Linked DNA regions of Caenorhabditis elegans. The protein of the gene in region 2 purifies or fractionates together with the protein of the main gene of each other region. This does not show direct contact. Each region holds a gene or a part of one and is shown on either strand. Other genes may lie near its edges.

Region 1 (5,791 bases), on a different chromosome or scaffold from region 2:
ATGTTCTTCGTTTTTAGCTTTTCGCTTTTTGGCAAGAAGAGCCCGTGACGTAAACAAGACCTCACACGAAGAATACTTTATGAGTTGTATGGGTGATGTTGGACGCGCACGGCGATCAACTCTTCAGGGCTCATTTATTTACTGTTTAAAAGTTTGAAAACCAAAGTTAGACAGTTGGAATGATCTAGAATAATGAATAGCTTCTTTGGTCTCTATACGTCACACATATATTTCATTTTTTGGTGGATCTACAAATGGAATAATCTAATCGGATTAAGAATGGAAAGCAATAATGGATGTCAGTTAATCCGGCATTTATACAATCAAGATGAATGGGTATAATCAGAAGATTTACCTACGTCGAAGGAGCCTCTTCATGATATCTGAAAATAGTCGGCTAACTTATAGTTGGGAGAGTATGTATACCATAGTCTTTGTTCACTTTTTCTTTCAAATATTCGTAAGCAATCGATCATTTGAAGATTCTGGGATTATGGAACAACTCAGAATACTGCAACGTTTCTCATCTTTATTCAGTTCGTTTGTTCAATTATCAGAAATGGTCATTATCACGGGTTCAAGGAAGAAGAAAATCAGGAATTATTCAAAAATGGGGATTATAGGAAAAGAAGACTGGCGACATCCCGACGAATAGCATATTATTGGACGAAAGGATTCAGGAATTAGTAGAAGACTTCTGGCATCGGGAGCTTATTGAAATCGAGGAAGGTTGTAAATCCTTTTGGTAGATTGCAACCGTCTCTTTTGCACAAACAACGTAGGCTGACCTGAGATGGATGGTTTGCAGCGTGGAATTGGAATGCCTGAAGTGATTTTATATAAGAAACCGATTCCTCCAATTATATTAAGCCTGATAATATTGAACCTACCTCTTGTAGACAAACGTTGATCACAGCGTGTCCTGGGATTGGATTTCCGTACATGGCCAAGATGTTGGTGTAATCATCGGAATCCATTTGAACTCCATTGACGTAGTACTTGTTGTAGTCCTTTGGGTCTGGCATGTAGCTACACAACTCGTAGATCGGCTCGCTCATCGTGTATCCTTTTGATGGATTGTTGACATCAATCGGCTCCCAGCACCGAATGCTCTTTGTGAGTTGATCGTGAGCATCTTGAACGGTGTTCTTAGCAGTTGAACGAACACTGTAACCCGAGGCCAGGACGAGTGAAGAGATGAGAATAACAGTTGGAGTGTTCAACATGTCGACCGTTTCAGTGAGATCGAAAAAAAGAGATCGGCAGATGTCCGAGTGACTCGAAGTAGTGATTAGCCCTACTGCCAACTCTGTTTATATGATGAAGCTGAAATGGGCGGAGTCAGTTTTTTAGTAACGAAAGGCGGGCTTTGAACAGAGCTGGAAAATAGGAAAAAGGAGGTGGAAAAGAAAAGCTGAAGATCAGGAGGTGTTTTTTAGAAACATGTGACAGATACGGGTGATAATGTTAAGATAAATGGTCAGCTCATGTTTTGATTAAGTTAAAAGTACATAAGGATCAAGGGAAGAATGCCAAGTTATGTCATATAGATAGTAAGGTTTTCAGAATGAGGAGATCGGAAAAAAATAACACGGATATCCCTTTATTCACTAATTGGGGTTTTTGACGTGTACTTATTTCACTAGGGCTGTACAAATCGGCGTCCGGTCGTCCGATTTTGACACCACCGGACGCACTGCGTCCGGTTTTGGGGTAGGTTTCCACGGCGGCCGACAATTTCCGAGTTTCGCCACTCACTATACTTAATCAGCAGTTTTATAGTGAGTGGCGAAACTCGGAAATTGTCGGCCGTCGTGGATAGCTACCCCCAACCGGACGCATGTGCGTCCGGTTCGGACGACCGGACGTCCGGTTGTACAGCCCTATATTTCACCGTACCAAACAGGGCGCCATTTGAGATCATTCTACACAGTGCGATCTTCCCTACTGTTGATCAGAACTCTTTTTGACTCAGCGATTCGGTGTTCTTTTGCCTCTTGACGTGAATGATTTCAGTTAGCCTCTACTAATTAGTTATCCGCATCGCTACCAGCACCAAAAATATTTCTGAACTCTTCTGTTTTGTGAGCCACAACGTTGACTCATTATTTGAACGACCAAATTTTGGAGTTAAAATTTTTTTAAAGACAATCTGCACGTTTAGTGATTGATCTACCACGCCTTATGAGGTGATCATTTGAATGTTTGCCAGTAGCTTTAAAGAGACATTTGATAAAGTATAGAAGATCAACAAATCGTTTTGTACTTTTAAATATGTCTCACTTCAACGAATGTAACTTTTCTAGTCGGCATTCCCATCCGAAAAAAACCGAAAAGTCCGAGCTCCCGGGCGTCACTGTTAATCTCAATTTAATCCTAGTGAATCTTAAAGTGTCCAGGAACCACACAAAATGAGGAATCCAATTTTCAGCGTGAAAATTTCAAATTTTTGAGAGGTGTGGAAGTGGCACATTTGCGTGTGAAGAACGCTTCTGAAAATGATTGAATGGTCACGAAGATGCTCAAAAAGAAATTTAAAAAAATGGCAAAAGTACATCTTGTGCCCTTTGCACTTTTCACCCAATTTCTTGTTCTGATTTCATTATTGACGTCAATAAAGGAAGAAGGACCCTTGTCAAATGACCCTATATCTGGTATCATTCTGACTACATTTTGTTGCAGATAGATCTGACCTGTGAAAAAAGTGGAAGTATTTAATATTCTGTCTTGTGATTTTTGAGCTCAAAACCCCAAGTGTCCACAGTTTCAGAAACTGTCGACTAGCTGGAAAAAGGAAGAATAATGCCTGTGAATAATAATAATGATTATTATAATACGTCAAACGAGACAGTTTCCTTTCAAATCAACATGTCTACGATATGAGAATAGGAAATTGAATCACTTTATAGGATTACAGTAAAATCCGATGTATGAGAGGAGAACAACAAAACAAAAACCACGCAAAAACTGGCTTAAAGTAGACTTATTCTTATGGGAGGCAAATTTTATAAACCCGCGCGATTTGGTAGATTACTTTCTAAACAAAATCTCCGAGTCCAGAAATTATTTTTTTTGGAGATTAAAACTAATATATGTTTATTTTCCAGCGATTCGACAATGCAGTCCAAGAATGCGATTTTATGAATAAATGGCCAGGCTACAGTCCGTCTTCAATGCGAAAAGATCTGAAAAAGTTGCATGATTTGGTGAGTTTCAACAGAAATGCTTCGACCACACTACATTACTCAACATCACTACAATTTTCCCACGTTTACAAAAAATTTACTAGAAAATTTGGTCTTTCGTGTGATTCTTCTACAAACTATAAGTGTGACTTGTTTCAAAGAACGACAACTTTTTCTTTGAGTTTTTAGTTTGAAATGTCATGTATCCCGGTTACCGGAAATGCTAAAGTTATCAAATTTCATGAAATTCAATTATAAAAATTTGGTTTAATTTAATGTCCGGTGGCATTTTAATAAACTTTTGATAGAATAGTTTAGTTAAATTACATTTAAAAAATGAATAAGTAGAAGTATAGATAAAAATACCATTGAAACATACTAAACATGCTAAAAAAATTTCCATAAAATTTCAATCTGAAAGTTTTTCAGTTCATTTTTCTCAGATTTTGGGTAGAATTTCCCCAAAACCGGGCTTTTCAGATTTTTGATTTCCACTCAAATCTGCCAAAAAAATTCTTATAAAACAAACACATTGTTTGCATTGTTTGCATGCATTGTTTTTTTTCTTGTATACATTGTTTTCTAAAATGTTGGGGAAAAATTGATTTTCGTCGATTTAATTTTCAAAATCTGAAATAAAGGTCGCTGGCACTGAACTTTTTTAATGTCGTGATTTCCGACGATTTTCTACGCTCAGCATGGCTTCTTTGTTTCCGGTAGTTCACTTTTTCTTTTTTAGAACAATAGTTTAATTATTCCTAGAAAAAGAATGAATTTCTACGAAAACAAGCCATAGTTCAAATTGATGTTCAGTGATGTTAGATGCTGAAGGACTATGCCTACGCAAACGCAACTTTATAAAATCTGCAATGATCTGACCAATCTTACGATTACTTTCAAATCATACATCGACACCATAATTCCATTCATTTTCCAAATGTTTCAGGCATCAACTGATTCGTTATCCGGACTTGAAGAAGATCACCATAAAGCCTACCAAGTGTTGATGGTTCTCGAAGCGAAGAGAGCGTATGACGAACGACTTGCTGGACTTTTCTGTGAAGATTGGTTCAATGTGGACAGTCCTGCAGACATTTTCAAGATTCTCGTTGACCGAGGAGATGACGATTTACCTCCAAAGGTATAGATATGGAATTTGGAATATTTGAAATGCGCGCAGACTAATTTGAGCGGTTAAGCCGATGTTCGCCGACGAATTTAGAGGATTTTGAGAGCTTGATAATATTTTAGATTAATTTGCAAGTTTGCCTCTGTTGAAATAAGAAAGTTACCGTATGTTACCGTATGGGACAAGTAAATTTCGTGTTACTTCCCAAGACTCAAAATTCCCCCTAACGGCACGTGGTGTCAGGTTGTCCCATTACGATTTGATCTACAAGGGAATTTTCCCAAAAAAAGTAACGTTAGCACGCTCTGAACCATGCGAAATCAGTTGAGAAGTCTGCGTCTCAACTCCCGCTTTTTTGTAGATCTACGTAGATCAAACCGAAATGGGACACTCTGACACCATGTGTAATGGCCAAATTTAGGATAAAAACTAAATTTCATAATTATCCAACTTCATTCATCGTGTTTTGAATATGTTGAGAATTATGCAAACATTTTGAGAATTTTCCAAAAAATACCTATTTTAAACAGAAATCTCGGTCATTGCAATGTCTTTTCGTTGGCTATTTTTCCATGATATCTGAAAAGACCAGCTTCATAAATACTGATGCTTGTTTTTCCACCTCCAATACGTTTCTAAGTATACCTTCAGCATCATCACCCTAACCTCCCAATTTTTTTTTTCAAATCTTGCAAAAATGTGGGAGTTGGTTATGACGCTTATCCGGTGACAACGCAGGAGAAAAGTCGATTCTGACCGCATTTAAAAACCTTTTACCAATATTGCCCTTTTGAATATTTATAAATTTGCACCAAAAATTACATGAAATCACTTTTAAATTTAAGAAATCTGTGATCTGAAATCACTAGGATAATTTTTAAAACGAAATGAAGCTGATTCATAAAATATAGAACTCTTGTGCACCTATGATGTAGCCATCAAATCAGAAAAAGCAGTTTCTTGTTTTTTGTGCTCATCAAAATCAACCAGATGTACTGCATAATCTCGAACTTCTTTTGTTCTTGAATTGTGATGACACAACGTTTTCTTTGTTATCATAAGATTTATTGTTTTATACTAAGAATAAATTATTACGTAGGCAAGAATACTTTACTTTATTGAAATTCGTTCCAAAGCGAGAGCTTTTAGAAATTTGAAGCGTTCTTGGAAAATGACCAACTTTTGAATTAGATTAAATTATGTTTTTTTTTCTCTCACAATTGAGCAAAATGATCAGTTTTTGTTAGATTTCATGGATCTTTCAAAACATTTACAAAACAAGTGTGACGATGTCTCACAGCGTCATAAGAATGATCAGGCGAATTTTGCACAGTTCATTGAAACTGGTGGGTTAAGAGCAACACATCTAAGAACTTTTGCATTAGTAGTTATTTTACTATTTTAGGAAAGTAGTGCGTGACTTTAAGAATACCCAAAATGCCCTTTACTTAGTTATTCGCACTTGGAAAGTTTCACT
Region 2 (8,514 bases):
TTAAACTCCTAGAAAATCTTTCTTTAAACTTCCAAAATTATGATATGTCTGAGGTTTGACAACTTTCTGGCTGCCAAACGAAACATTTAGAAAAATTTTTAACTTTTTAGTTTAGTGTTTGAATATTTCAGCGCTAGAAGAGCAATTTAAGTCGTTTTTCTACTGGAGATTTTCACCTTAAAGTGCTCGTTTTCTAACAATATGCAATAATACTTTTTTTGTTAATTGGTTTGATGAGAATTCCAAAAAAAAAAAGTTTTTTGTCCAATGTTAAAGCACGAAAAAGTTAAAAAAATTTCAGAGACGAAAGAAGCGAATGGAATTTTGTAACTGCAACGTTATATGGTTTTGGCATTGTCACAACATTAGGTACATCATGATTTATATACTTGCACCCATTTGGTTTTAAGGGTACAACAGAATTGCGCCAATAACTTATACGGGAAGAATGTTTTGTATCGTTTATGGCATTTGTGGTATACCAGTTACAATGATCATCATTGCAAATGTTGGCCAGTACCTGAACAATTTTGCAGGAGATTCGAGACGCAAGGTCACTTGTTTTTTAATTTTTTTTTAAATTCCAAGTTCTATTTCTAGATAGAAGCCTACAGGCAGCAGAGACGAATGTCAAAAGCTTCATTGGCCGGCAAAATTTACAAAGAATCTTCAATCCAAGTCACATCGTTAGCTCTTCTATGTGTCTTCTTAATATACGTGGCAGTTGGTGCATTACTATTGCCATTGTTAAATGGAGAACTCGACTTTTTCAACGGACTTTATTTTAATTTTTTGTGTTTAACTGCGATAGATTTTGGGCAACTGGTTCCGATTCGGGTTGAGCTGCTACCAATAACATTTCTGTATGTGTGCATTGGATTGGCGATTACAACAATTGCTATCAGTTAGTTTTTAAACACTTGTGAAAATTATCATCGTTTTTTGTTTCAGATATTGGTTCTGAATATATGAAAAAACTTCACTACTGGGGCAAGAAAATGAAGAATGCCGCGCAGACAAGAATTTGGTTTGGTGGAAAAACGTAATTTTATTTTTATTTTTGAAAGACCACATTAGTTGAATTATGTTAAAATTTTCAGTTTAAAAGTCAGAGACCTCCTTCATGCAGTGGGTAAGAAATGTGGCGTAGAACCAGGAATGATTGATGCATTGGATTTGGAAAATGTTGTAGAGCGGACAATTGCTATGCAGGTTTTTTTTTCAAATTTTTTTTGCTCATACAAATTTTAAAAGTAATTTTTCAGGAAGGACGGGAGCCGCCCGAGGATTTGAACGATGAGCCACCACGTGAGCCATCTCCTCGTTCAATCATTCATTCACCGTGTTCCACAAGACCATCGAATCCTCCAATGAGCCCACCATCTCCACGAGAAGACCACCCATTTATATTCAAAATGTACTGCAAAGCCAATTTATATTTCTGAATCTCTCATTTTGAGTGTTCTCTTTTTTTCAGGGATGCTCCTGCTCCTCGAAGCCCATTACCATTGCCGGCATATGAATTGGATATCAAAAAGCCGATATTTCAGGCATTGTCCAATGAGTTTATGAACCAATCGGCGCAGGAGAAGTTGTTTAATGATCTCGATACTTTTCAAATTGAAATTAATACTGAGCTAGTTGAGGATCATAAATGTGAAAGTGTTATCATTATTGAACCACCAGCAACATTTGAAGACATGACTATACAACACAGTCTTTGTGTTGAAGATTATGAGAGGGAAGAAAAAGGTTATTGATTATTCGATGATTGTTTTATTATCAAATCAACAAATTTCAGTTCCGAAACGATTCCGCGAAAAGAAAGAAATGTATGGTCGAGACCCGCGTAAACTGTATGAAACTTATCAAGAGGAATGGGATAGATTGGAACGGTTATCAGATAGGAAGTAAGTTGATCAGATTGATGGACTTCAATGACAAAACCAATTAAGGCACGGTCCGAGAAGGAAGTCAGTTTTGAACTTATCAAACTGTTCACCGGAACGAAGTGTTTCCCCATCTCCGATCAGGCATTCTTTAACTGGGGAGGGCCACAGAAGAGATTCGTAGTCCTGCGAAGAGTTTTACAAATTGCCGCAGATTTTGTATTTTGTTTAAATAAATAATGTATACATATTATTACTGCATTTTTACAAATTTTGATTTTCAGACCAATGTGAAAAAACTAGTTGAACATATATTCCGTTGATACACAATTTTGCAAATAGAACAGAAAAAGTTTTATTTCAGAAATTTCGAGTTCCAATTATGAATTTATAATTTTTTTTTGAGGGCATATTTTGAACTACTGCCTAACTGCTGTGGTAATTTTAGCAATTATCAAAGTTGCTGACTGCCGAAAACGCCAATTGTCCAAATGTTTGTAATTCTATAAACTCGTGGAGTTTAGAGCTTCGGATATTTGAATATTTGGGGCAATTCAAGTTTGAATTCTTTCTCAAACTAATAAATGGAATAAAGTTTACTGCGCATGATACAGTATTAAATATCGATATTTTAGGTAAAAGCCGACAAAACTACAATTCCAAATAAATATTAGAATAACTGTACTGAATATTTATTCAATTGTCAAACATAAAACTTACTCCCAATCCAATTATTTCAATTTTATTACTGGCAGAAATTATTTCAGAGATTCCCATAAATCACAGTAGGTTAAAATATAATTTTAAATACATTAAAACATTAAACAATTTAGATCGAATCAAGTTGAACTTTTGATACTGCAGCTTTGTTAACAGTGTAAAGAGTTGAACCGTCAAAAATATGCTCTCCCTCTTCGACAGTTTGAGGAAGTTGGACCCACTCCAAAGTAGACTTATCGTCAAAAATGTTTCCTTTGAGAGCCCAAACGGCTCCGTAGAAAGCGCTTCCCGTCATTCCTTTTTGAACACGGCCACCAGCGACAATGAAAGAATTGGTCTTCTTGTCAACAAATGAGCAGTTTGGACCAACGAAACCGTATTGGGGAAGAGAACTGTACTCTCCTTCAATATCAACATGACGAGCTGTTTTTGATTTCAAGTCAAAAACGAAGAAACGAGTTTTCTCCCAATTGAATCCACATCCATGAACAGCGTAGCTAATGAGCACTTTGTCATTGACAGTCTCAGCAATTACTGGAGATCCTCTCTGAAAACAATTTTTAATATTATAAAATTCTTGAACAATCTTCGTTACCAAATGGTTGTCATCAGAGTGAATTTGCGAGATGTTTTCGACAGTAGAAGAAGCTCCATTGACAGTGAGAGAATAGATTTGAATGTGACAATTGTCGTCTTTGAGAAGAAGAATAGTTTCACCATTTGAAGAAGTTCCAGCAGCAGCGATAACTTCAAATCTTTGAGTCTCAGTGAGGGTTTTGGTTTCTGGGGCCTGAAAAAACATTGTGGTGTATATCTAATAAAGGATGATGGTTCGAAAAAAAGTCAATTTCCAAAGCTTGTTCATATGCTGACAGTCTATGGGTCTATACGTACACTTTAGGTTTATATGTACCATATCGAATTTTAAACTAAAAAAAAAACTTACAGAAGTAATACTTTAAATTAATTTTGAAACAAAATTCTAATCACAGAATCACTCACATTTAACAAAACCTCATTGAAAGAATTACTATCCCATCTGAACAACTTTTGGAATCCAATTGCTCCAAAATTGACAAAAGCGAGAAGATAAAGCTGATTGTCACGAACAAACAACACTTCTTCCGAGTTTTCTTCGCTTACGAGCTCCGGGAACTGAAATTGTTTAGGTCTGAAATGACCAGGAAAACAAGGCAAACTCACATCATGTCTCTCCCATTTGTTGGATTCCTTATCAAAAGTCAGAACGTAAGTTCCTGCAAAAGCCACGCGATGTCCCCAGTTGTGATTTGGTTGAGCGACGTCTAAACAAGAAAATTGTTCTAAATTTGAAAAAAAATGTATATAAATGCTCACATTTGCGCCCCACCAAAGTCAACTTTCCGTCTTGAACGAACGAATAGTGATATTCGCATAGCTCTCCGTTGTTTCCAAAACCTTCAGCAATTTTCTCAGACATGATCAACTGAAAACATACATTTTAAATCAAAAAGAATTAGTACAAACATCTGAATATAACAAAAACGGAAGAAAGTTTATAAACGCGGCAGGTGAAGTCGGAAACCAGGAAGTAAAAAGAGAAAAAGGAAGATGTTCTGGGCAAACGGCCAAAGGTTGAACTCAATTCGTTCTTCTATAGAATTGACGGTTCAAAAAGACATTTAGACATAGAAGTCCTTAGAAGATTTCTAGAAAACTGGTTGCAAAACATATTCGCAAAACATTACGAAACGACTCTTTGCCGAATAAAATGAAAAATTTATAGAACATAATTGGACATATAATATTTTATGTGAGGTTTCAATAATATATTCTCAACAACTCAAAAGAAAACACATCCAAAAATCGATAAATGCGCAAGGTGAGAGGCAAAAATGGCTTAGAGAGCGGTGTATTTCTATTGGGGAAGTCCAGTTTTATACGTGTTGTTTGCCAGGTGGCCAGTGACTCATTGTGGGAAAATTGGGAGAATAAACAATATTGCGAAATCAAATATTCTTCATGAAATTTCCATGGAAAGAATGAACACTGTCGGAAAATATTGTTATGTAATTCTCACAGTGAACAACAACACGATTGTCCAAAAAAAAACTTTATTCATAATACTGCAAAGAAGGGTGAAAGTGAATCAAAATGGAACTTGACGTATTTGGTCAATAGCAGTAGTATTTGCTGCGAACATTTACGGGGAATTTGGTATTTGCTTTTGTCTGTGTACTGTAAATACAAAGAAGTTTTGATCAAAAGTAGAAGTACCTACTTTAAAAGTGGTAAATCTGAAAATTAAACAGTTTGATGTCTTGTAGGCTACCAAAAAACATCAGTTATACAGCATAAATTATGTTATTGTACTGAAAATAAAACATTCGAGCACATTGTTAAATCATAGCTAATCTTTATTTCGGCAGTGACCAAAATGGATATCCTCTGATATTTTCAAAGCTGCGGACTTCTGAATTTTCGAAAAAAAAAATTCATTTTCAAGAATATACAGATTGCAGGTTTTATAGATTTTGAGACACAAATTTATGTCAAACAGTGTTTTTTTAAAGCTCAATCAATTTAGACTAAATACGCAATTACCATAATTGGAAACCAGGCAGTAAGGATCTGGAACGAGAATCCCAATTTCTAATTCCTCTGAAATTAAATTCAATGTTTTGTTCTAAAGACAAAACTTTGGCTTATGTTGGTTTTTCGCTATAGTGTCAAAATATTTGAATATCATAGTAAAAGTTTTCAAAATTTTTTTAAAGTTTTCATTTACTGTCGAAAAGTGACAATCGCACGTGGTGTCAGAATGTCCCATTTCGTTGTGATCTACCAAAACTGCGGGAATTTAGACGCAGACTTCTCAACTGGTCTCGCATGGTTAAGAATGAGCTGACGTCACATTTTTCGGGGAAAAAATTCCCGCATTTTTTGTAGATCAAACTGTTATGGGACAACCTGACACCACGTGCAATCGCTCAGTTTTTGCACTCATAACTTTGGAAGTCGACCAAAAAAAAAGTTCTACGATTTTTATACTTTAAATTTGATTTAATTATTTGTTGTAAAACATTTTAGGGGTTAGAACATGCAATATTGCTCTGTGTTTCCTCAAAAGCTCTTTTTTGTTATTTGGCAGATTGCTAAAACATTAAAAAAATCTAAAATTTTCTGGTTGGTTTTATTATAATCTCCGATTTTTTTCAAAACATAAACATAGTTCAAATAATGGAACAAATCTATATTGTGAACAAAAGTGAGGAAAAATTTTATAAGTTAATGTTGTAACAATAAAGATTACAAAACTATTTCCAAAGTTTGTCTTCTCTCAGATATTTTTTGTTTCCATACACTATTTTAGTGCAAAGAGCAAAAAAATTTTCAACAAAGTTTCTGAGAGAAATTCTAGAAAATGTTACTTTGGAGTGATTTGGGAATTTTTAAAGTTTTGAAAATGTACCATATTTTGCATGTAGAATGCCACATTTTTTATCAAAAATGAGCCTAATGTTTTGAGAATTTTTAAAAAATCCTTTCGATGCATTTAAACATTTTCTATCAGGTTTCTACTTATATCGTGTTATCGTTTACTTTTTCCTTTTCAATTTGAAAAACCAAAGACATCACTTTTGTTATTCTCTCTACTTTTTCTTTTGAAGAACCTTGATTCGCAGGACATGTTTCAATGAAGTCGGAGAAGGTAAGAGAAAAGTGACAAGTGGTCTACAACGTTTGTTTTCAATTTGCGACACTGCACGCACAAAAACGCTCCGTTGAGAACCGATTTGATCTTGCTCTACGGCGTACAGTTTTGTGTTGTTATTATGTTGTTTTGATGTTGTTTCGATGGTCCGTCAATATCGACTGTCCTTCACAGTTAGTCTTCGAGCGGTGGTCTCTTGTGTCGCCTTTTTTTCTCATTTGTCCTCCCCCCCTTTACCACTGCGCAAATAGATTTGGGATCTAATGTATGTAAGTGCGCTCTACCGCAATCAATGGGTTTCTCCAAACAAATGCCCTTGCCATTTGAGAAACGAAACAGAATCTCTTGAAAACATTTCTGATAACCGATTCGTTTTAGTTTTCTACAATCAACTTCAAAGAATAATCATTATCTATCGATTCACTGATATAATTCTCGTGTTGTGACCTTATCAATCGACAAACAAGTCGATTACTCTGAATGTTCACATCAAAAACTCCTCACCCGTATTGCCGGCGTTAAAGTGAAAATCTTGAAACGATGGTAAACTATTATTTTTTGTTTTGTTGCCTACGTGCTGGCCCCCGACGTGTCCATCTCTATCTCTCTTCCCCGTGACCGTGGTGTGCACTGCTGCCGGGCGCGTTTCTCCCCGTCCTGTTCTCCTCACATCCCTTTCTGCGCGCTGCAATCTTCTAAATGTCACGCACACAGCAAAGTTGCACTACACTTGTTGGGACCTTCTTCTCTCCGAGCATTGACCGCTCAGTTTTTGTCCTCCCTTTTTCTCTTCTTACTCAAATTCTTTTTATTTTTCTTATCTACATTTGAAAAACGTTTCTTACTTTTCACTTTTTGAGAGCTTTGGGTATGTTGTCCCGATTTGCCCGTCAACTGGCGCTGCCAGTTTTCAACGGAGTTCTTCATGTGAGTTTATATTAGGAAATAAGTATAGGAAATAAGTTATAATGAACTATATTTTTCAGCCAACTCGAGCCACCAGTTCGATCGCTCATACCATCAAGGTTGCCCATAAGATCGATGAGACCAGAGAGAAAGCTCTTCTCGGAGGTGGAAAGAAGCGCGTCGACGCTCAACATGCTCGCGTAAGACATTTTTCCAAAAAAAAAAACCTACTTATATGAAAAAATTTTGCAGGGAAAGCTAACAGCTCGCGAACGCATTGATCTTCTTTTGGATAGAAACACCTTCAGGGAGTATGACATGTTTGCCGAGCACACCTGCAACGACTTCGGTATGCAGAAAGAGAAATATCCTGGAGATTCGGTTGTCACTGGACGTGGAGAAATCAACGGACGTACCGTCTTTGTTTTCTCCCAAGACTTCACTGTTTTCGGAGGATCTCTGTCATCCATTCACGCCAAAAAGATCGTCAAGATCATGAGAGAGGCCATGCTTGTCGGAGCCCCAGTCATCGGACTCAATGACTCCGGAGGTGCCCGTATCCAGGAAGGAGTTGAGTCGCTTGCTGGGTATGCCGATATCTTCCAAGAGAACGTGATGGCTTCTGGTGTCGTTCCTCAAATCTCTATGATTATGGGACCATGTGCTGGAGGAGCCGTCTACTCGCCAGCTCTAACCGACTTCACTTTCATGGTTCGTGATACCTCCTATTTGTTCATCACTGGCCCAGATGTTGTCAAAGCTGTTACCAACGAGGAGGTCACCCAGGAGGAACTTGGAGGAGCTAAGACTCACACTGTCACCTCTGGAGTCGCTCACGGTGCTTTCGACAACGATGTTGATGCGCTCATGAGCCTCAGAGAGCTTTTCAACTATCTTCCACTCTCCAACACTGATGCTGCTCCAATCCGTGCTGCTGAGGATCCATGGGACAGAGCTGTTCCATCTTTGGATACTGTTGTTCCATTGGAAAGCACTGCTGCCTACAACATGAAGGACGTTGTTCACGCTCTTGTCGACGAGGGAGATTTCTTCGAGATTATGCCAGACTACGCCAAGAACTTGGTCATTGGATTCGCCAGAATGAACGGACGCACTGTCGGAATTGTTGGAAACAATCCAAAGTTTGCTGCTGGATGCCTTGATATCAACTCTTCCGTGAAAGGAGCTCGTTTCGTCCGATTCTGCGATGCTTTCAACATCCCAATCATCACTTTGGTTGACGTTCCCGGTTTCTTGCCAGGTAAATTTTCCCGATTGAAAGTATTTCAAATATTAAATCAAATA
Region 3 (7,399 bases), on a different chromosome or scaffold from region 2:
TCACGTCGCCGCTAGACATCGTTCGGTTTCCCGTAGAAAGGCAGTTGCCGCCAGAAGATCCAAGGCTCGTCGTGTTGTTGCTGCCAAGCACCGTGCCGTTGCCAAGAGACATCGTGCCGTCCAAAAGGCTTAAATCATTCCTTTTCAGTAATAAACATAGATTGCATTCAATTTAACATGTTTTCCAATATTTACAAGAAATTCGTAACATCAATACAGAAACCTACAAATTTATACTTGAAGGGGAAATTTTCTTGAATATATTCTGAAACGACTTGAAATGAGGCGCATTCAAATACAAGGTATGAAATAATGTAGTGTTCTGTTTGATTAAATTTAATCCAAGAGTCTACGAGTTTTGGAAGCGAAAAAACTAATTATTTGCAAAGTTACCTTGAAAAACTTAAACACCGTTTTCGCCTTTTTCGATCACTTAAAAAAGGAAAAATCTACATTTCTGCTGAAATTACATCCTCTTTATCATGTGGAAGAAAGTTATTATTAACAGTACCCAAATTATCAATTTATTTTTCAACAAGTAATCATTCAAACATCAATTCACATCAGTTTTCAATAAATGCGGAGATTTATCACTTCCTTTGATAGAATTATCACCAGCGTTGCTCATTTTTGCCATTCTCGATCCAAATTGCATTGCCTGTTTCGGAGCATCATATGGGGATCCCAACATTTTCACTGTCTCTCGGAGCAATTGTTTCTCTCCAACTCCACGTGGCAATGATAGATCCCATTTGGAATCGACTGGAAGTGCGTTGAGCCAAGTGACTACGGTATCTTCGAGAAGTGGAGATCTGAAATATAACAAAAATCATATTATTTTTTTTATTAGGAGATTTTGAAAACTTACAAAATGGTCTTCCCAAGTTGAGCAGCAACTCTAGCATCTCTTCCTCCATTTCTCGATCCCAGCCTTCGCAATTCATTTTCACATTCTTCCGCTACATTTTCTGGAATTTGTTCCTTCTCAAATCGAGTTCGATGCCTTGCGTATCCGGCAAGAAGTTCATCTGCTCCTGATCCCAGAAGGCATGTAGTTGCAGGTGACCTCACTGATTGTTGATTCTCACTATCAACTCCTTCGGCTCTGACAGCAAACCACAGAACACAAGACAGTGAGTCATCAAGTACTGAACTCGCTGGTTGAGCTGCATCTGAGATAGATTCTTTGCGATTCACTTCGAGGGTTTGGCTATCAACGTTGACAAGAATGAGGCGAAATTGGCGAGTTGGGTATGCAGTTCGAAATGATTCCAGCGCCTTTCTGGCACGTTTACGATCAGGTGCTTGTTCACATTCCTATAAAATATAGATTTATTATTCGATATTAAATTAAAATAAAAACTCACTTTCTCACTATTACCAAATGCCACATTAATTAGATCAATTTGCATATTCTCTGGAACACTTGAATGTACAACATGAGCAACAAATGTAGAATCGACACCTCCAGACAAGCATACTGCCACGTGGCTTTCATGATCTAAAGTTAGATGTTATAAAAGCGATTTCATTAGAAAAAACAAACAATTTTTCAATAGAATCTTAGTCGCATCGATAACTTTTTGAAAGAGATCTTTGGTATTAAATGAGTCAATTTCTCCTCCAGTTGATCTACTAACATTCAATAATCCATGTTTCTTGTTGACCACAATTCGAGAGATATCCGACCCAGAAAAGTAGCCATCCAATACATTCTGTAATGATATAGCATTTATTGTCAGAAATAAGTAATAAATGCCTAAGCATCAAATATAGTAAAACTTTTAAAAATATGGAATTGTTTTTTCAACTAATTAATTATATTTTTATTTGTATTAGGTAGAATATCGTCCGTGGGGATTTTGTATAAATATCAATGTTTTGGTAATTTGTATTAAATTTGGACGTTTTGAAGAATTTCGAGCATTGTGGCAGGTTTGAACTCCTATTACGGGAACACAAAATTCTGAGAATGTGTATTTATTGCGAAAAAATTTTGACGCGCAAAATATCTCGAAGCGAAAACTACATCAATTATTTAAATGACTACTGTAGAGCTTGTGGTGATTTACGGGCTTGAAATTCGATATGATTTTTTTTTCGAATATCGACAGTGATTTTCAATTTTCGAAAAATTTTCCTTCGTTTCTTCGTAGGATTTTCTAATTTTTTGCTGAATTTTGATATTCAATCGATAAATAAAGTATTTTTGTCATTTCGAAAATCGAGCCCCGTAAATCGACACAAGCTCTACAGTAGTCATTTAAATAATTACTGTAGTTTTCGCAACAAAATATTTTGCGCGTCAAATATGTTGCGCAATATGCATTCTCAGGTTTTTCATAATAGAATGTTTGAAAAAAAAACCATACTATGATTAGAATTCAAAAATCGTAGAAAACCACTTTTTTACCGACACATCCGAAATTATAATGAAGAAAACGAGAATTCACCAATTCTTGCTTGAAATTTGAATTTTTTAAAAAGTTTCTATTCGGACATTTCAACACTTTACGAATTCTGAAAATTTTCCGAATTTCAGCAGTTCATCGGAAAATTTTCGGTTTTTTAAAAAAGAATATTCAGGCAAATTCTCCACTGGCGGTACTTCATATAAAATTGCACAAACCTCTGGATACTCGTCAAGATATGAATAAATAACTGGATCAGTTGAATCAAGACTAAAAACAGTCACTTGTCCGAATGGAATTTCAATCCATTTCCCAGATGTTTCTGGCTTTGTTCTACATCCAAAAATCATCGATTCGAAATTAAAAACCAAAGATTGTCTTCCAAAAACATCTCTTCCAATGAAAAGTTTTTTCAATTTCTGATTATAATAAATAATGCTCCAGGATCCTTGTTGCTCCAGAATTTCATTAACAATACTATTAACTGATCCATTTGAGAGTTTTGAAACATGAAGTTGTGAGGTGGTTCCAGAATAAACAAGATAATCTTCTTCAATCATTTTGATATATCCTTTTAATTCCTCGCCCAATGTTTCATCCTTTAAATGCCACCATCGATTGTAATCAATGCCCATTCTGAATTTCAGTTCTTTTTCCAAATTTCATAATAACTGGCAATAAGAAATCTCAGAATATTGACAGAAAAAAAAAATAGTTTCAAAGTCATTGCATTTAAAATTGGATAGTTTTATTACTACAAAGAATGAAAAAGACACTATCTCACAACATAATAGTCCGGGATATCGATTGAAGTAAATCATCATCAAAAAAAAGAAGCGGGAAGTGTTTTTGCGTTGAATCACAGAAAAAAATGAACTCGTTATTCTGAGGGTACTAGTACTCGAAACTATACAAGATTTTGAAGCAAAAAAAAAGAATATGAATAAAAATAGGATAAAGGCAACTGTGTGTCGATCGATAGTCGATAATTTAATAACCCATATGCTAAATGAAGACAGAGTGAAACTGGAACCAATAAATAAAATAAATATGGCTACTGGAGGGTGACGTGGCTATTCCACGGTGGCTTGTGGAATATTTTGAAGAAGGAAGAGTGTTTGATATGATTTGATTGTCTTGATCAGTTGATGTTCCAGTTGAGGATCAGCATGGCAGCAAGGCATCACATCAACAACCGATGGAAATAGTGAAACTAAGTGCGAGTAGAGTTCAGTCATTTTTGGATCTCTTGCAAGTCGTGCAATTAGTGAGTCAACAGCTTGAAGTGCAGATATGATTTCTAGTATTCTGGATCTAGGTAAACGAAGATCTCCAGCAGCAGACCAATCTTTGCAGAAATCAGACATAACCTAAAATCAGAGTAGTTTGTGTCTTTATCGGACCTATTTTTGATCCTACCTGTGTGCATCTTTGTAAAAGACTTGTCACAGCAACATTTCCAAGAATTCCTCTTCCTTCGTCTTCTTCAGTATTTGTATGTGCTCCATCAGATGACATCAATAGAGCATCAAAACAGGCCTTTGCCAGCTCATTTCGTTGAGTATGCGAGTCTGAAGCTGAATTCGAGGGTTGTTACCGAGTACACCGAAAACATGCAATCAGAATGGAGAAATGTGGAAAGGAATACCAACACCAACTAGTTTTGTGAGAAGTGTTAGAAGTAAAAAGAAGACGATTTCTCTCGAGCACTTACCAAGAACATCTGTAGAATCGATTTGTGAAATGGAGCCACGATGAAGTAGTGCAATCAGCCGTTGAACATCTTCTTGTGGTAAACGGGATGCATATGCGAGCATTTCACTTCGAATTATTTCAATTGCCTGACATTCCATTAGTTCATCACGTTTTCTTTCGTCTGCTGCCAGTCTCGTTGACTTGCTAGAACCGCAGCGAAAAATCAAAGATTAGAATTTTAAATTAATTGCATTTCTATTTAAGCTATATAAAGAGTGAAAAATTTAAAAATTTCCATAACGAAAATTACATATTTTCAATAAAAATATATAGTTTTCTTTTTTTCGTACATTTTTCAACACAAGTGTTTTTTTTTCAAATTTCTAACAATCGATGTTTTGAATTTCTCTGAAAAAAATTCGAAAAACCGAAAAAATTGAAGAATATTTTCGATTGAAACTATTGATCCATATTCAACATTTAGCAATTTCGCCCAAAAACTACGGTACCTGGTCTTGACACGACCAGTTTTTGCAAATACAAGAGACTATTCGTCTTAAAGGATTACTGTAGCTCACGATTTAAAAAAAATTCTATTCAAGTGAAACATAAATTTTAAAGGCAAACAACGCCGGGTTTGGAACGAAATACAGCTGTAGAAAAAATATAGAAATACTTCTAAAATTATTTTTTTTTAAACTAAAAATGCTGGTTTTTCGAGTCTCAAACAGCAAAAAAAATATTGCGAGCTTTTGCGATTTTTCCCTCAAAAATACAGTATGTGTACCTTTGAAAAATCAATTTTTTTTTGTTTTTTTTTGAATTGTAGTCATTCTCAATTTTTTTAAAATTTGAATTAGTTTGTAAATTTTGATGTTTTGATTTTTTTTTTCGAAATATGAGACTTGGAAAATGTATCTAAATGTTCTTAATTTATCTGAAAGTCATCGAAAAAGCTTTAATCTAAAATTAGTATGTATATTTTTGAAACAGAATTTTTTCGATAGTTCAGAAAATCAAGCATTTGAAAGAAAAGTTATTTAAATGTTTCTTTCGAATTAATACTGAAGAAGCCTTCTATTACACCTATACTAATTTTCCCCATGAGACTTTTTTTGTTGAAAATTTCCAAAATCAAATCTAAAATAACTTACTTTGGAGTAAAAAGCCATCTTTCCATAGTATCACAAATTGCAGACCATAAACCTCGAAAAACTTCTGGATTCTGACGAGCATATGGAATGGATGTTCTCAAGACAGACATCAGAGAAGTTGCAGCAAGTTTCCAAGTACTTGCAGAGATACAAGTGTACTTCATGTAAAGTGGTTCTCCGAGGAATTTTATGATATCAATAGCAATGAGCGAGTTGGCAACTTCTGGATTCTGTGATGTTGAAGTAAAGAATTCGATTGCAATTCGGAGAGAATATTCGGAAAATGGAACAATTGTAGTCAGGGCGTAGTCTCTCTGAAAATTTAAATTATTTATTCAAATTAAATAATTCTTTGCTTTGTTATACCCAACATGGTCTCAGAAGGGCGAATTTAAAAATAATATTTCTCAAAATTTCGAAAAAAGCCAAATTCTGCTAAAATCTTATTTTTCAAAGAAATTTATATTTTTCTTATTTTTTTTCTTTCGCATAACCGTAATACGATAAAAATTGAATGTTTTTGGTACCAACTGTGGTTACTTAATAAAGATTTTTTTTTCGATTTTTCGATTTTCCCAGCGAAAAAACAAAAATATTCCGTCTATCGATTTGTCTAAAATTGAAATTTTTTGACAAGCATGTAAATTAACGCGAGATCAACTAATAAAATATGTACGATTTTTGCGAAATTTCGTTTTTTTTTTGAAATTTTGACCTGTCATAATTGTTTTTGATCAGCACCTTTTTCGAAATTCGTGCACATTTTGAGTCCATACGAGCAATATTCCTTCAATAAAAAACACTTACATAGCTCTTCTGTCCACCAGGCGCAACTTTATTCGGAGAAATTCGTTGTGTTGCCATACTTGCAAATTTCAGCAAAAGTCGTATTTGATCCGGAATAGCGGCTCGCAGAGATGTTCCTGATAGTGTACATTCAACAAATACAATTTTAACAGCTTCCAAAAGAGCTTCCTGTGTCGGTGTCAGATGTGTAGTAGCTGATGGAAGTACAAATGGTGCTTGTTCTGATGGAATGGGTACATTCATCATACTTTCCAGTACTGCTGGCAGACTTTCATATTTTAAATCGTCTACAGTAATACTTTTGGCAACTTTGTCGAATAATGGAGGGAACACATGAAGAATCGCTGTGAGATGAGAAGGTCCGGGAACATAGATTCCTGGAGCAAGCGATGCTAACGAAGACGATGATGAATTCATTCTTGGAGTTGAAGAAATTGATTTCGAATCAGCATTCACTGAATTTGCCATTGCAGCACATCCTTGTCTAGCCAATCCTCTTGAAATTCTCAGCCAAACTTTCCAAGATTCAACCCATTGGGCTTGTGGTAACTCGGGTGTAATTGCATCAATAGTAGAATCAGATCCATTGCTTTTTTCATGACTATTTACATTCAACGTCTGTGATGAGATTTTTCCGAGTAAAACTTCCTGATAACTTCGAATTGCTGATAGTGATAGTTCGGCATTTTCGTAGCACGCAGCCCAATCCAAATATCCTAGAAATGCTTCCCAAACAGCACCAAAGTCATTCAACGCGAGCAAAGATTTTCGTTGAGAATTGAAAATTTTGGATATAGCAGAAATGGTATGAATGCATGTTTCCGTCCATTGCTTCTGTTCTGTATCTCTCGAATGATGCATTATCAGTTCTCCATTTGATTTTTCCGTAGATGCACATCTTGTCTGTGATCGAACTTTGTCAAGTAATGGAATCATTATCTGCCATATAACACTATGCCATGCAGCAGATCGAAGTGCATGTCCATGTGCTGTGACTGTTTGTAGAAGAGTTTGACACGCTGATTTTCGTACAGCAAAGCGAGAGTCTACACATGATTCGGAGAGGCACGTGTACAGTACCATCCACACAGCTTCGGAAGCATCGTTTCCAACGGATTCCATTTTTCGGTAAATGAAGTCGGAAATCGTCCACTGAAAATATTAGGATTAATTATCGTAAAACTTGAAAAAAAGTTATTGCGGTGTCGTCTGAAAGACGCGTGGATTTGTTGGAATGGGTCTCGCCACGATATTGTTTGGTACCGTTATTCTATTAATTCAGGACTATTATGGGATCACAAAATTCGAAGAATGCATATTGCGCAACATATT

What was found.
Region 1: the proteins of F52E4.5 (region 2) and droe-4 fractionate together in Caenorhabditis elegans (co-fractionation; one large-scale study listed by BioGRID). This does not show direct contact.
Region 3: the proteins of F52E4.5 (region 2) and M18.3 fractionate together in Caenorhabditis elegans (co-fractionation; one large-scale study listed by BioGRID). This does not show direct contact.

Annotation. Positions count from the first base shown.
Region 1 is NC_003283.11:13,988,197-13,993,987, reverse strand, and holds droe-4 (dietary restriction over expressed), read right to left. Parts: upstream 1,333-5,791; 5' UTR 1,227-1,332; coding exon 891-1,226; intron 825-890; coding exon 684-824; 3' UTR 512-683; downstream 1-511. Other genes in the region: ric-7 (CRAL-TRIO domain-containing protein), read left to right, coding at 3,108-3,206, 4,132-4,326.
Region 2 is NC_003284.9:3,083,264-3,091,777, forward strand, and holds F52E4.5 (Fucose-specific lectin), read right to left. Parts: upstream 4,083-8,514; 5' UTR 4,069-4,082; coding exon 3,966-4,068; intron 3,914-3,965; coding exon 3,813-3,913; intron 3,765-3,812; coding exon 3,612-3,764; intron 3,400-3,611; coding exon 3,205-3,399; intron 3,157-3,204; coding exon 2,719-3,156; 3' UTR 2,565-2,718; downstream 1-2,564. Other genes in the region: twk-16 (Potassium channel domain-containing protein), read left to right, coding at 302-369, 411-553, 601-904, 952-1,042, 1,101-1,212, 1,266-1,417, 1,478-1,752, 1,802-1,910 and 1 more; pccb-1 (Propionyl-CoA carboxylase beta chain, mitochondrial), read left to right, coding at 7,174-7,230, 7,290-7,409, 7,462-8,470.
Region 3 is NC_003282.8:12,101,506-12,108,904, reverse strand, and holds M18.3 (Asparagine synthetase domain-containing protein), read right to left. Parts: upstream 3,048-7,399; 5' UTR 3,047-3,047; coding exon 2,630-3,046; intron 1,716-2,629; coding exon 1,547-1,715; intron 1,502-1,546; coding exon 1,368-1,501; intron 1,318-1,367; coding exon 869-1,317; intron 813-868; coding exon 554-812; 3' UTR 512-553; downstream 1-511. Other genes in the region: col-129 (Nematode cuticle collagen N-terminal domain-containing protein), read left to right, coding at 1-133; mon-2 (Monensin-resistant homolog 2), read right to left, coding at 3,485-3,781, 3,831-3,988, 4,126-4,310, 5,261-5,574, 6,068-7,219.